Linked DNA regions of Nothobranchius furzeri. The main gene of each other region encodes a partner of the protein of the gene in region 3 in a complex. Links are inferred from orthologs where the notes say so. Each region holds a gene or a part of one and is shown on either strand. Other genes may lie near its edges.

Region 1 (4,249 bases), on a different chromosome or scaffold from region 3:
TATTTTGGGCCAGCCGTATTGCTGTAGTATGATGGCATCATCGGCAGACGCAGGACCCCGAGCAGAAACAACAGCACCAGAAAACTACAATCAACATTACATTCTCCTGATGGAATTACCTGAAGGACCATCAAAATCGAAGGCATCATGCCGAGGTCGCATGCTTTCTGCTCCACAGGTAACAACATTTACCGTTCTGGTTTTTTTTTTAAACTAGCGACAGTCACGGCGATAAGCTGTCAAACTACCGTGAAATGTATGTACTGCCCCCTAGCGCCAGGAGACTACACACTGCTGCTTTATATCCAAGATTCAATCTTTGATATTTTATAGCAAGTCGAGCAACATTATTTTATCAACATCACATTACAGTTAATTTTGTATAATACAGTTACTTAAGAAAGCAATATAAAAAAAACAGTCAGTATTTGGTGTAGTCACCATGTGCCTCATGCAGTTCAACACATCTCCGTTGGAGTTGATCAGGTTGTTGAATGTGGCCTGTGAATTGTTGGTCCACCCCACTTCAATAGCTGTTCAAGGTTGCTAAATTTTGTCAAGAACTGGTTGTATACAAATGTGCTTGATGGGTGGCACATCCAGTCAAGCAAGAACTGGGATCTTTTCATCTTTCAGGAACTGTGCACAGAACCTTGCTAGACGGAGCCGTGCATTATCATGCTGCAAAATGAGTTGATGGCCGTGGTTGAACTGCGCAACATTGAGCTTCAGGATCTCATCACGGTATCGCTGTGTGTTCAATATCCCATCAATAAAATGCACCTGTACTTGTTTTCCATAACATATGCCTGCCCATAACCTCACCGCCACCATGGGCCACTCGATTCATCATCCTCGTCGTCATCGTCTTCCTCTGCTTATCCAGGTCCGGGTTGCGGGGGCAGCATCCCAACTAGGGAGCTCCAGACCGTCCTCTCCCCGGCCACCTCCACCAGCTCCTCCGGCAGGACCCCAAGGCGTTCCCGGACCAGATTGGAGATTTAACCTCTCCAACGTGTCCTGGGTCGACCCGGGGAACTCCTGCCGGCAGGACATGCCCGAAACACCTCCCCAGGGAGGCGTCCAGGAGGCATCCTGACCAGATGCCCAAACCACCTCAACTGACTCCTTTCGATCCGGAGGAGCAGCGGTTCTACTCCGAGTCCCTCCCGAATGTCCGAGCTCCTCACCCTATCTCTAAGGCTGAGCCCGGCCACCCTACGGAGGAAACTCATTTCGGCCGCTTGTATCCGCGATCTCGTTCTTTCGGTCATTACCCAAAGCTCATGACCATAGGTGAGGATTGGGACGTAGATGGACCGGTAAATCGAGAGCCTGGCTTTCTGGCTCAGCTCCCTCTTCACCACGACAGATCGGCTCAGCGTCCGCATCACTGCAGACGCCGAACCAATCCGCCTGTCGATCTCCCGATCCCTCCTACCCTCACTCGTGAACAAGACCCTGAGATACTTAAACTCCTCCACTTGAGGTAGGACCTCTCTCCCGACCCGGAGTTGGCAAGCCACCCTCACATCAGTCCTGAAGAATGTAATTTCTCTAAACTGAGATTGTTTCGGAAGACTTTTACATTGAGTAAGACGGATATATTTATAACAAAAAAACACTTTAAAGTTGCTAAAATACCCCTTAAAAATGTAAAGTCAATTCTAAATGTATTTTAATACTTTGACTTAAAAAGTGCTTATCTTTTTCTGCAAATATTAGATCTGATGCACACAAATAACAGATGGGGACCCCCATCCGTACTCCTTCATCAGCTCCTAACTTGTGCCTTTCTCTTAACAGATAGACCCACAGGAGAATACTGGGACACTGTTAATCTCCTGCTTGACAGGCACAACCGCAAACAAAAGCTAACGCGTACACTCACTACATCCTAATCTGTTTTGATGGAAAACAACAGCTTAAAGCATTTTTTCCCTTTTTTTCCAACAAAGAGCTTTAGATAACAACGTGTATTATTTGGAACACATTTACCCAGAAAGGTCATGCTGAAGGTTTTAAAAGAAGTGGCGCAGAATTGGATTACGGTTCCTATAACAAAACCTAGAATTCTTACACACACACGAGCTATCACTGAGACACATGACACATGGCAACCTTTTCTAGAGGGGAGAAAAAGCAAATTAAGACTTATAGATTTCCAAATCATACAATATGGTTGTGTTGCCATTTTCTGACAATATGTGTTTAATATTGGTGCAGATTTCCTCTACATGCACGGCCGTGTTTTAATCTGCTCCTGTGAGTATACTGTGCACGCATTTGAAATAAGTGCCCGTGCGCGCGCCAGTTGTGATGTCATTTGCATCAAAATTTTCATCGCTATTAGGGATTCCCCGATGCAAACTTTTACCAGTCGCTTCTTTTTTGCGTGAAACTTTCTTCATATGCGAAACCAACTGCACAACGAGACTGGATGTCTAAAGAGTGTGCTTTTTTTCTACAACGTGCATGCTTTTATGTGAGGATCTTTGCACAACAGCGCGCAGCGATACCTGATTATAACAGACAGTCCGAGTGCAGATGAAAGGCTGCGTTTATGATTCCTATCATTAAAAAAACACATGGAAAAGGAACCGTTGTGTCTGCAGCTGCTCGACTAAGATTTAAAAAAGGATAAAAGAAATACACTTACGATTTTAATGGATTATGAATGACAGTCGCCATCTTTCTGCAGAACTGTAATGCAATATTCCAAATCTGTGTGCAGTTTGGGACCCTTCTTAAAAAAAAGAAAAAAGGAAAAAACGACAGCCAATGCGGTCCTCTGCTCTTTCTAATACAACAGAAGCATCAACACATGAGGCGTGGCTTCAGTGAAATATGTCAACATACTCTGCACTGGAATCATTCCACTCAAATAATTAGATTTAGTTATAAAACAGCTGTCTAAAAGTTTATGAGTTGTACGCCATTACCAGATGTTCTTAATATTTCTACAATTTTTTATCTTTTTGTTTGAACATTTGAGCATTATTTGTCCTAATTTACATTACATACTACCAATGGGTATAAATCACGAAGTTCGTGATCAAAGTTATTAATTTCTGTGATTTGTTTGTTTTTAATGTTCAACATCATTAATCATTTCGTAGAGGACGCGTATGCTACATTTAATGTCCACCGGAATTAAATGTAGCCTTCAACGCACAATTATTGTTTCTTGGAACCACGTGACGGGCTCAGAGTTGTTTCTTGTGCTCAGCTGTTAAAAATAAATGCTCAGTTACTTTAATTGAAGATTATTTTCAAATCAATAAAAGCGCAACAATATAGTAAAACTATTATTTATACAATTTCAATATTATTTTCTCTTACTTTTCAGATTAATATGGATTTTCGTATTAAAGTAGAACATGGTGGATGACAAATCAAAATTATAATTACCGTATTGATAATTGTTTCGGCTTTTCAGTGATTTTTGTTTATTGTTGATTGAAAATTCAAATGTCCCACATGATCTTAAATGCAGCAACCAATGAACGTATCTTACGTCCGAAAATTGTTGTTGAAAAAATTTACCAATGATAAGTTCGAAAGGCGGGACTATGTAAAATGACGTGACGTTGCGTTTGTGAACAGTTGGTAAGTCAGCATTCGCTCTTTCATATTTGTCTGCTTAATTATTGAGCAACCTTAAATACTTTGATGACTTTTGATAAAGTAAAATATTAAACCTGAAGTACAAACAGTTTTGTCTCACTTTGCCCACGGAACGACTTGCCCATTGAACGCGTCAGTACAAGTAGCATTTTCCTTTTTCCGAGGTACATCGAATGCCGCATTACCGTAAACCAAGTAGCTCAAGAGAGTTTAAAAATTAAGTCATAATTAGTACTTTATTCTGAATTATGTTTGTTCATCGTCACTAGGATTAATTTGCTGTTTTAAACCTTTGTTGTATGCAACGTTTTTGAAGTCCAGCTACATTAGCAAACGTGTCGCTAGCTCTAATGCTAACGTTGCTAACTTAGCTAACAAGTAATCACGTCGTGAACAGAAAGCGTGATGTGACAACCTTCACTGTTGGAGCCAAGAAAAAAAAAGGATGAAGAAACGAAACTGGCCACAAAGTCGTCGCTACGGACGGTACATAAACGACCGTGAAAGATCTGCTGGCGACGAACAGTGTGTACAATATAAACATCCATAGTGTTCCTGAAAGTGTGCTATCAGGAATTATGTAGCTTTGTTGTGTTCTGTGTACAGGTATGGACTCAATGAT
Region 2 (4,024 bases), on a different chromosome or scaffold from region 3:
TACTGAAATATTTGGAGGAACATGTTGGCTTTTTGGAAATCTGTACCAGTTAACGTATTTAGGATTTATCTGGTGTCTGGGTTTGGTTGAACTAATAGATTTGACTTTAAAAAGTGATGATGTGACCTCTGACCCTCTCATCACATCTATTCCACAGAAATAAAATTTCCTATTAATCTTGATTATAAATAGAAGCAACCTTGTTATTTATTTTAATACATCCGTCATAAATGATTTCTTATTTGGAGATCAATGTTGGTCATAATTTCTTTCTTCCTGGACTTCTTTGTTTCGTTGCCTCTCTGACACCAGCAGAAAAACAGAAAAGGAAATGATAACGGTGACGATTTGCCTTCGCGTGCTCCGCTTCGCCTCCTTTTGTCATTCAGATAACCTCATGAATATTTCACCCCTCTGATCCAGCGGCTGGAGGAAAGCGAGGGGCTGGAGCGGTCAGGGTGTGGGGTAGCTCTGGTCTGAGTGTCGACCTGTGTGAGGATGACAGTCTGGATTATTCGGCTGTCTTCTCTTTAGTCCTTCTGCCCTTGAAAGGACGAGTGTGTGTAACAGCTTCAGCTTTCTGCATTTTTATAGATAATAACATCAGCGAAGCAGGAGATCCGGGCAGGGTTGAGTGTGATTGCTGGTGTCATACAGAGTCACCTTGCTGCCCTGGCACTGGGTGAGGGGTGAAAACCAGTGAGGTGACTGGGGGACATGCTCCCAACTTACCAGTGCAGCCCTCCTGAGTAAGTTAGTGTGTGAAGCTCTCCATCATGTGGCGACTTAATGAGATGCAGCGTGGCCCCTTTAAGACTCCATCTTTTTTTGAGAATGGGCCCAGAGTCAGGGTTCTGTGTGTGCTGACCGTGGCCTCTGATGGTCTGGGGGGTGGAGGGTGTCTTGTTTTAGACCAAACCTCTCTGCAACGCATGCCCTTATCTACCAATGGAATGCAACAGCTGTGTGGGGGGAGCGGCAGGGTGGGCTGGCTGAAACCCCCCTGCCAGACCCCTGCATGGCTTCTCCCCCTCCACACACACACACACCACCCTACTCCACCTCCAAGCGAGCGACGTGCCGGGCTTCTGAAAGGCAGCACAACTCAAAAGTGATCCAGACACACAGAGAGCGGCTCGGCGGGGCTGCTACACGCTGAGGGGGAGAGAGAGAGAGAGGGGGGGGGGAGGAAAAAAGGGAGAGGGAGGGAAGAGGGAGAAGGAGAGTCAGGGACAAGCAGTGCTGAAAAGGAGAGCACAAAGAGAAGGAAAGTGGAGCAGGGGAGGGGAACAGGAGGCTGGGTGAAGGGAGAGGGAAAGACAAAAGAAGGAGAGGGGAGACAGGACTGAGCAAATGGCTACGGAGGAGACGGCGGGGGGAGCCAGGAAAGCCACCAAGAGCAAACTGTTTGAGTTCCTGGTCCATGGAGTGGTGAGTGGCGCTGTCTGTCATTCCCATGTAGAGGAGCCGAGCTCTGGCATGCATCTGTGTGTGTGATGGTGTGGATGAGTCGGTGGAGCAGCGTGTGTGTGTGTGTGTGTGTGTGTGTGTGTGTGTGTGTGTGTTATAGCTGGGTAAAAGCTGGCCATGTGAAGGATATTTCCAGCCCCTCTGATCCGTCAGGAGATGGCTTGAGGAGGATGAGAAGTGGAGCAGCATGAATGGATGGCTCTGAGCGGGAGGGAGGATTTCTACACATGAATAATTGTAGAAACAGAAGCTAAGGCAGCAGCAGCTCCTCCTTTTGCTAACATGAGGAGGGAAATGACGAGGTCCTTCCAGAAGGCGAGATGCTGGCTTCAACCTGTGAGGTCATCAGATGGAGTCAGAGCAGACGGCTGATCCTGGAGATCACACCGAACAATCAGATCCTTCATGTAACACCAGCTCGGCTAGAGGTTAGGCAGCTGTGAGCTGACACATGGGGCAGGTTTGTTTTGGTCGACTTCACCTCATCTCCAACATTTATGGCAGCTTAAACCACTCCTGACCTCAAACCAGACAACATATTCTTATTTCCACATAAAATAAAGGATCTAACCAGGCGCATTTATTACATTTTGTGATACAGATTATAAAAAACTCTGATATTTGCCAATTAAGTGAATAAATAATGAATTAACTGGCAAGAAAGTATGAGAAGATCCTCAGGAAGCAACAAACTTAATATTATTGTTGTTGCTGCAGATAAATGATGGATTTAATGCTGTTACGGTCAAAGAAGGCATGTGAAGCATTTCTGTGTGATGGTGGTGAGCCTCAGCTACCAAAACACCAAATCCTGACTCAATAACTGAAAACAGCTGAGTTTGAGGCGTTGATGCGTTTTGGCTGTGGCGGCCATCTTGAATCAAGGTGACTCCAGAAGTTAATTAGCTGAAGATGTTCTTCTAATGAGAGTTGGATTCAAATCCATCCAGTTTGGGATTATTCTGTTTATTACCAACGCAAACCGGATGATTGAACAGTTTTCAAGACTCCTGTTAGAAGTTGAACTGGTTTAAACTGGTGAAATGGGAAATGGGCACAATCTTCCAATTCCATGTTAGGAATGATTCAAATAATGACCATTTCAAGCTTGAATTGTTTAAAAAAACACTCAAAATTTATAGAAACATCATAAAGTTATTGTAAAGCTTCATCTAAAGTTTAGTTTGAATCATTTGCTGTGCTTAATTGAAATATGCACTGATAATCTACATTATTTAATAAGATTTTTACAGGATCTGATGGTTTTCTCTAATGAAACGGTGAAAAACCGTCTCGTATCCATCGTAAAGGCTCTAGGTGATACTTTTATGCTTTAATCTGTGAAGTTTTCTGACTCGGTTTGGGTTTTAATCCACGCTTGGTTGATTAATACTCTGAAACCAGATGAGATGTGGTGTCTTTGACAGGAACAGTCATTAAAAGGGGTCTGGGTGGCGAAGTCCCGCGCTCGCAGACACATTTTAGGAAACAACGGAGCAGGTGATTGATGAGCCAGATGAATCCGTCCTCTCAACAGACCAATTAACCTTGATGAGTCTCTGGCTGCTCTAAGCCAAATATTTCTCTCTGCTTGTTTTCTCCTCTCCCCTTTCATCCTCGTTTCTTCCCTCATATTTGATGGAAACATCTTGTTTTTATGCAGAAATATTTATACTAAAAGATGTGGGATCTGGCTCAGTGTGTCAGCTTGTGGTGGACGATGATATTTTCTTTCCTTTAGTGGGGAAATGTAAGAAGAAAATGGCTTTTTGATGCAGAAAACTTGCTAAAACTGCAGCCTGTGGTTCTTATGCAGTTTCTCCACTGAGGGACTAATAAAGGTGTTCTTATTCTTATTCTTATGGGTCATTATCTCCTCTATGTCCCATCTCGTGTCTGTGGACGTACGGTTGGAGGAAAATCCTCCGTGAGAAAACCAAAGATAAGCCAACACGTGAAGTGGCACACTGTAGCTATGTTGTCTGCAAAATGTTGCACAATTTGTGCAAAAGTGAACACAGACTTGATTTTTCTCCCACGTTAGTCGTTCTTTAAAGGAAAAGTTCCCACAAGGGGAGTTTCTTCCATGTTTCTGGAGTTTTGGGGTAATCAACGTCTGAAAGATGCAAAAGATCTTTTTATTCTGGGTGATTATTTTTTTAAAGCCGTCGTCACGGTGATCTGGTCAGCAGCCATGATGACATCTTTCTGTTTCTTCAAATAATTAAATATTTGAATCATAAAATCAAACAAAAGTAAACACAAGCAAATCTAAAATGCTCATTAAACCAGATTTATTCTGCTGTTTACATGTGTTCAACTTTTAGAAATTCATTTATATAATAATAATATACAATAGAATATCAAAATAATTTCAATCAAATTAAATTAGTTTATCATTGTAATCTATCATTATTTATGAATATCTAGTCAAACAAAAATATTTATGAGAAATAACTAAGATTTAAGAAATTATAAGGTTTGTTTTATTTACTTAAATATTCTGATAGTAAATATTTAATATAAAATATTTAAATACAAAGTCAAATAACAT
Region 3 (3,511 bases):
ACAGTTTTAGGCCGAATACTTAAATTTTAACTAAGATGCACTAAAGTGCCGAATTATTGACTACATTTGTCTACAGCACGAGTAGCAAAATAATGTTGATTTGGAGTGACTTGCTCTTTTAATAGCTCCTTCCTTTCCTTCCTGTGTCTACGTGTTCTGGATGAGTTCTTCCCCGGGTAACAGAAGCCTCATCCTTTAGAAGAGAACTGCTCTGAATTCAGTCCACAAACATGTAAACAACTCCTCCTGTGATGCGTTTGTGTCTTCTCTAGGACTATGTCTAACTGGGTCTATGAGCTGGATAAATGGGCTCCTTCTGTGGTCAAAATAGCTTACAAGGTAAAGCGAATCTTCTGTTTGTTTATTTCATCCTGATAGTTTTTCCCCACACAGCTGTGTGTTTTCCTCCCGTTCCAGGGTACTCCGGGTTTGCGCCGTGGACTTGTGCCGCAGCTCCGCAGCGGGAAGTTTAACGTCCTACTGACCACCTACGAATACATCATCAAGGACAAGCACATCCTGGCCAAGGTGAAGGAGGGTCTGCTCACACGCCTCATCAGTACTTCTATTATCGGTTTTCATTGTTTGAGCTTTGGTTTGGGCGAACTAACTGATTTTCTTCAGATTTAATCAAAGCAAATGAGCAAAGTTCTATATTACAATCAATACTTACTAGGGATGAGCCGGATACTCGTTTCAGACGCGTATCCGTTATGGATAAAGCATTTTTGACGAATACGAGCATGAAACAAGTAAAACTCGTAAATATCTGTAATGGTGCTGAAGGAAAATCCTCATTGGATAACTGACTGTCTTCACGCTCTGTGATTGGCCAGTCACATAGAGCGCCCGCCCCTCCCTACACACAAAACTCTGCAGCCGGGAGCTCAGTCTGGCCCATGCATCCACACACACACACACACACAGACAATAACGGATCTCGCTGCTTGCTTTACTAATGCTCACGTTTCTTCAGAGCTCCCTAGGTTTTCTTCAGCTCGGTTTAATATTTAAAGTTCATTTTTTTTGTAACGCACGTGGTGCATTTGACTAGACAGACAGCTCGTGCTGCGTCGGTCACTGCCTCCGCTCCGCTGGGTCTGTCTCTGTCTCTCTCTCTGTCTCTCTCTGTCTCTCTCTCTCTCTCTCTCTCTGTCTCTCTGTCTCTCTCTGTCTCTCTCTCTGTCTCTCTCTCTCTCTCTCTCTCTCTCTCTCTCTCTCTCTCTCTCTCTCTCTCTCTCTCTCTCTCTCTCTCTCTCTCTCTCTCTCTCTCTCTCTCTCTCTCTCTCTCTCTCTCTCTCTCTCTCTCTCTCTCTCTCTCTCTCTCTCTCTCTCTCTCTCTCTCTCTCTCTCTCTCTCTCTCTCTCTCTCTCTCTCTCTCTCTCTCTCTCTCTCTCTCTCTCTCTCTCTCTCTGCATTAATTCATGCACTTAAATATTAATGTTCTGATTTTATTGAAAAAATTGTTCCTTTACTATTGCAATCAAAAATATTTAATATCAATTCTGAGGCTGTTCTGTAAATACTTTTCAAATAAACAATACTCATAGCAACTTCTGATCAATCCATATCAATTTCAGACTTAAAACAATGTATTAATGTAAACCACACCCACTTCCGGGTTAGGCCACGCCCACACCACGTACACATACAGATAGTGGTGTACTCGCTCAGCCCTATTACTTACTTTCTCCTAAACGAAACCTTTGGTAGCGAGTTTTCTCCGCCATGAGCTAAATACGAATGACCTACAGAACGTTGGATCCAATTTAGTCTCGCTTACGGCCGCGTCGTGTCGTCTGCAGATGCTTTAAAGGTCAACTAAACTGTAGGAAATGAAAGCAGCTGAACTTATCTTCTGTAATTTAAAGCAGAACGATGATTATCTGGTTCTTAGTCGGTGAAAAGCGGTTTAAAGCTGATTTCAGCAGCTGTACGGTGATGAAATGTGTTTAAAACTTTTATTGACTTTTGTGCAACATCTGAGTTTGTTTTTCTCCCTCCTGCTGTGATCGTGTTCAACGAGGAGCTGAGATCATTTTTATACGGAATGGAAAAACATACAAATGAAGAAACTTTGGATAAAATTCAAAGTTGTTTTCATTTGAGGATCAAGACTGGAGTCTTTGGAGCTCGTCCTGGTTTGACCCTGAGGGTTTAGCTAGTTTGTGTTTTCACTCCAGATCCGTTGGAAGTACATGATCGTGGACGAGGGCCATCGTATGAAGAACCACCACTGTAAGCTGACCCAGGTGTTGAACACACACTACGTGGCTCCACGCCGCCTCCTCCTGACCGGAACGCCGCTGCAGAACAAGCTTCCTGAACTCTGGGCCTTGCTCAACTTCCTGCTGCCCACCATCTTCAAGAGCTGCAGCACCTTTGAGCAGTGGTTCAACGCCCCGTTCGCCATGACCGGAGAGCGGGTAACGGCTCACTGTTTAATCTCCCCCAGAGGGACCGATTTTCCTCACAAATCACTAGAAACATCAGACGGAAACCGGCAGAGCCACAGAAATGTTTAACCAGCTTTAGCGGCTCCAGTGATTCGTTTGACAGGATGAAAACAAAAGAAAAATAAATAAATGTTGTAATTATTTATTTCCGCACCTGGAGTCAGGCACGAGCGCTGGAAGTCGAGAGAGCGAGGCGGGGAACGCTGCGAGTCAACGCCGGCTTTGCTGCATCATTTCAGGCTCATGTACAGAAAAGCTTGTAGGTGCTTTTGGTTTCCTGTGAAAATTCCCAGAACGGAACCAGGAAGTTTGTGGGAATTTCAGTTTCTCAAAGCTGACCAATCATGTTATGGCCAGAGGTGGAAACGCCCGCCTCACTAGCATAAATGCGAGAGGGAAATGTGGAAATAATTGCAACATCCGTCCGCTTATCCGGGGTCGGGTCGCGGGGGCAGCAGCCTAAGTCGAGAGGCCCACACTTCCCTCTCCCAGTCTCTTGGGCCAGCTCCTCCGGGGAATCCCAAGGCGTTCCCTGGCCTGGTGAGAGACATAGTCCCTCCAGCGTGTCCTGGGTCTTCCTTTAGCCCTCCTCCCGGTTGGGCGTGCCCGGAAAACCTTACCGGGGAGGCGTCCAGGAGGCATCCTGACCAGATGCCCGAGCCACCTCAACTGGCTCCTCTTTTATGCGGAGGAGCAGCGGCTCTACTCCGAGCCCCTCCCGCATGACCGAGCTTCTCACCACATTTACAACATATATTTGTTTATCTTTATTTACTCCGTTATTTAATTTTATATTTCCTTCTTCGTGTATTTAATTAATGTCTGTTTTGGCAGGAAGAGCAGGAAACTCAGACGTCGGTGTTGCTCTTATATCTTTCCCCTTTTATAATTTATTCAGCTTTACATTTTGCTCTGAAAGTTTGCTTGAAAGGAGAAGCAGATGTTGTGTTTACTGCTCTTCCCACCTGATGCATCATGTATTCGGGCATGTTGTATGTGCCTCTTAGCTTCACACGCGTACCGATGACGGCTTTCTAACATACTCGACACCCACA

What was found.
Region 1: smarca2 (region 3) and dpf3 share a complex: the UniProt entries of both Homo sapiens proteins name them as parts of the BAF complex. The link is inferred for Nothobranchius furzeri from reciprocal best matches to the Homo sapiens genes SMARCA2 and DPF3.
Region 2: smarca2 (region 3) and smarcd3b share a complex: the UniProt entries of both Homo sapiens proteins name them as parts of the BAF complex. The link is inferred for Nothobranchius furzeri from reciprocal best matches to the Homo sapiens genes SMARCA2 and SMARCD3.

What each region holds. Positions count from the first base shown.
Region 1 is NC_091742.1:25,606,826-25,611,074, reverse strand, and holds the start of dpf3 (zinc finger protein DPF3), read right to left. Parts: upstream 2,807-4,249; 5' UTR 2,692-2,806; coding exon 2,660-2,691; intron 1-2,659. Other genes in the region: wdr21 (WD repeat domain 21), read left to right, coding at 4,073-4,152, 4,234-4,249. UniProt on the Homo sapiens protein: Belongs to the neuron-specific chromatin remodeling complex (nBAF complex).
Region 2 is NC_091747.1:45,543,160-45,547,183, reverse strand, and holds the start of smarcd3b (SWI/SNF-related matrix-associated actin-dependent regulator of chromatin subfamily D member 3b), read left to right. Parts: upstream 1-1,218; 5' UTR 1,219-1,353; coding exon 1,354-1,431; intron 1,432-4,024. UniProt on the Homo sapiens protein: Involved in transcriptional activation and repression of select genes by chromatin remodeling (alteration of DNA-nucleosome topology).
Region 3 is NC_091750.1:37,858,834-37,862,344, forward strand, and holds part of smarca2 (probable global transcription activator SNF2L2), read left to right. Parts: intron 1-272; coding exon 273-339; intron 340-417; coding exon 418-528; intron 529-2,183; coding exon 2,184-2,426; intron 2,427-3,511. UniProt on the Homo sapiens protein: ATPase involved in transcriptional activation and repression of select genes by chromatin remodeling (alteration of DNA-nucleosome topology).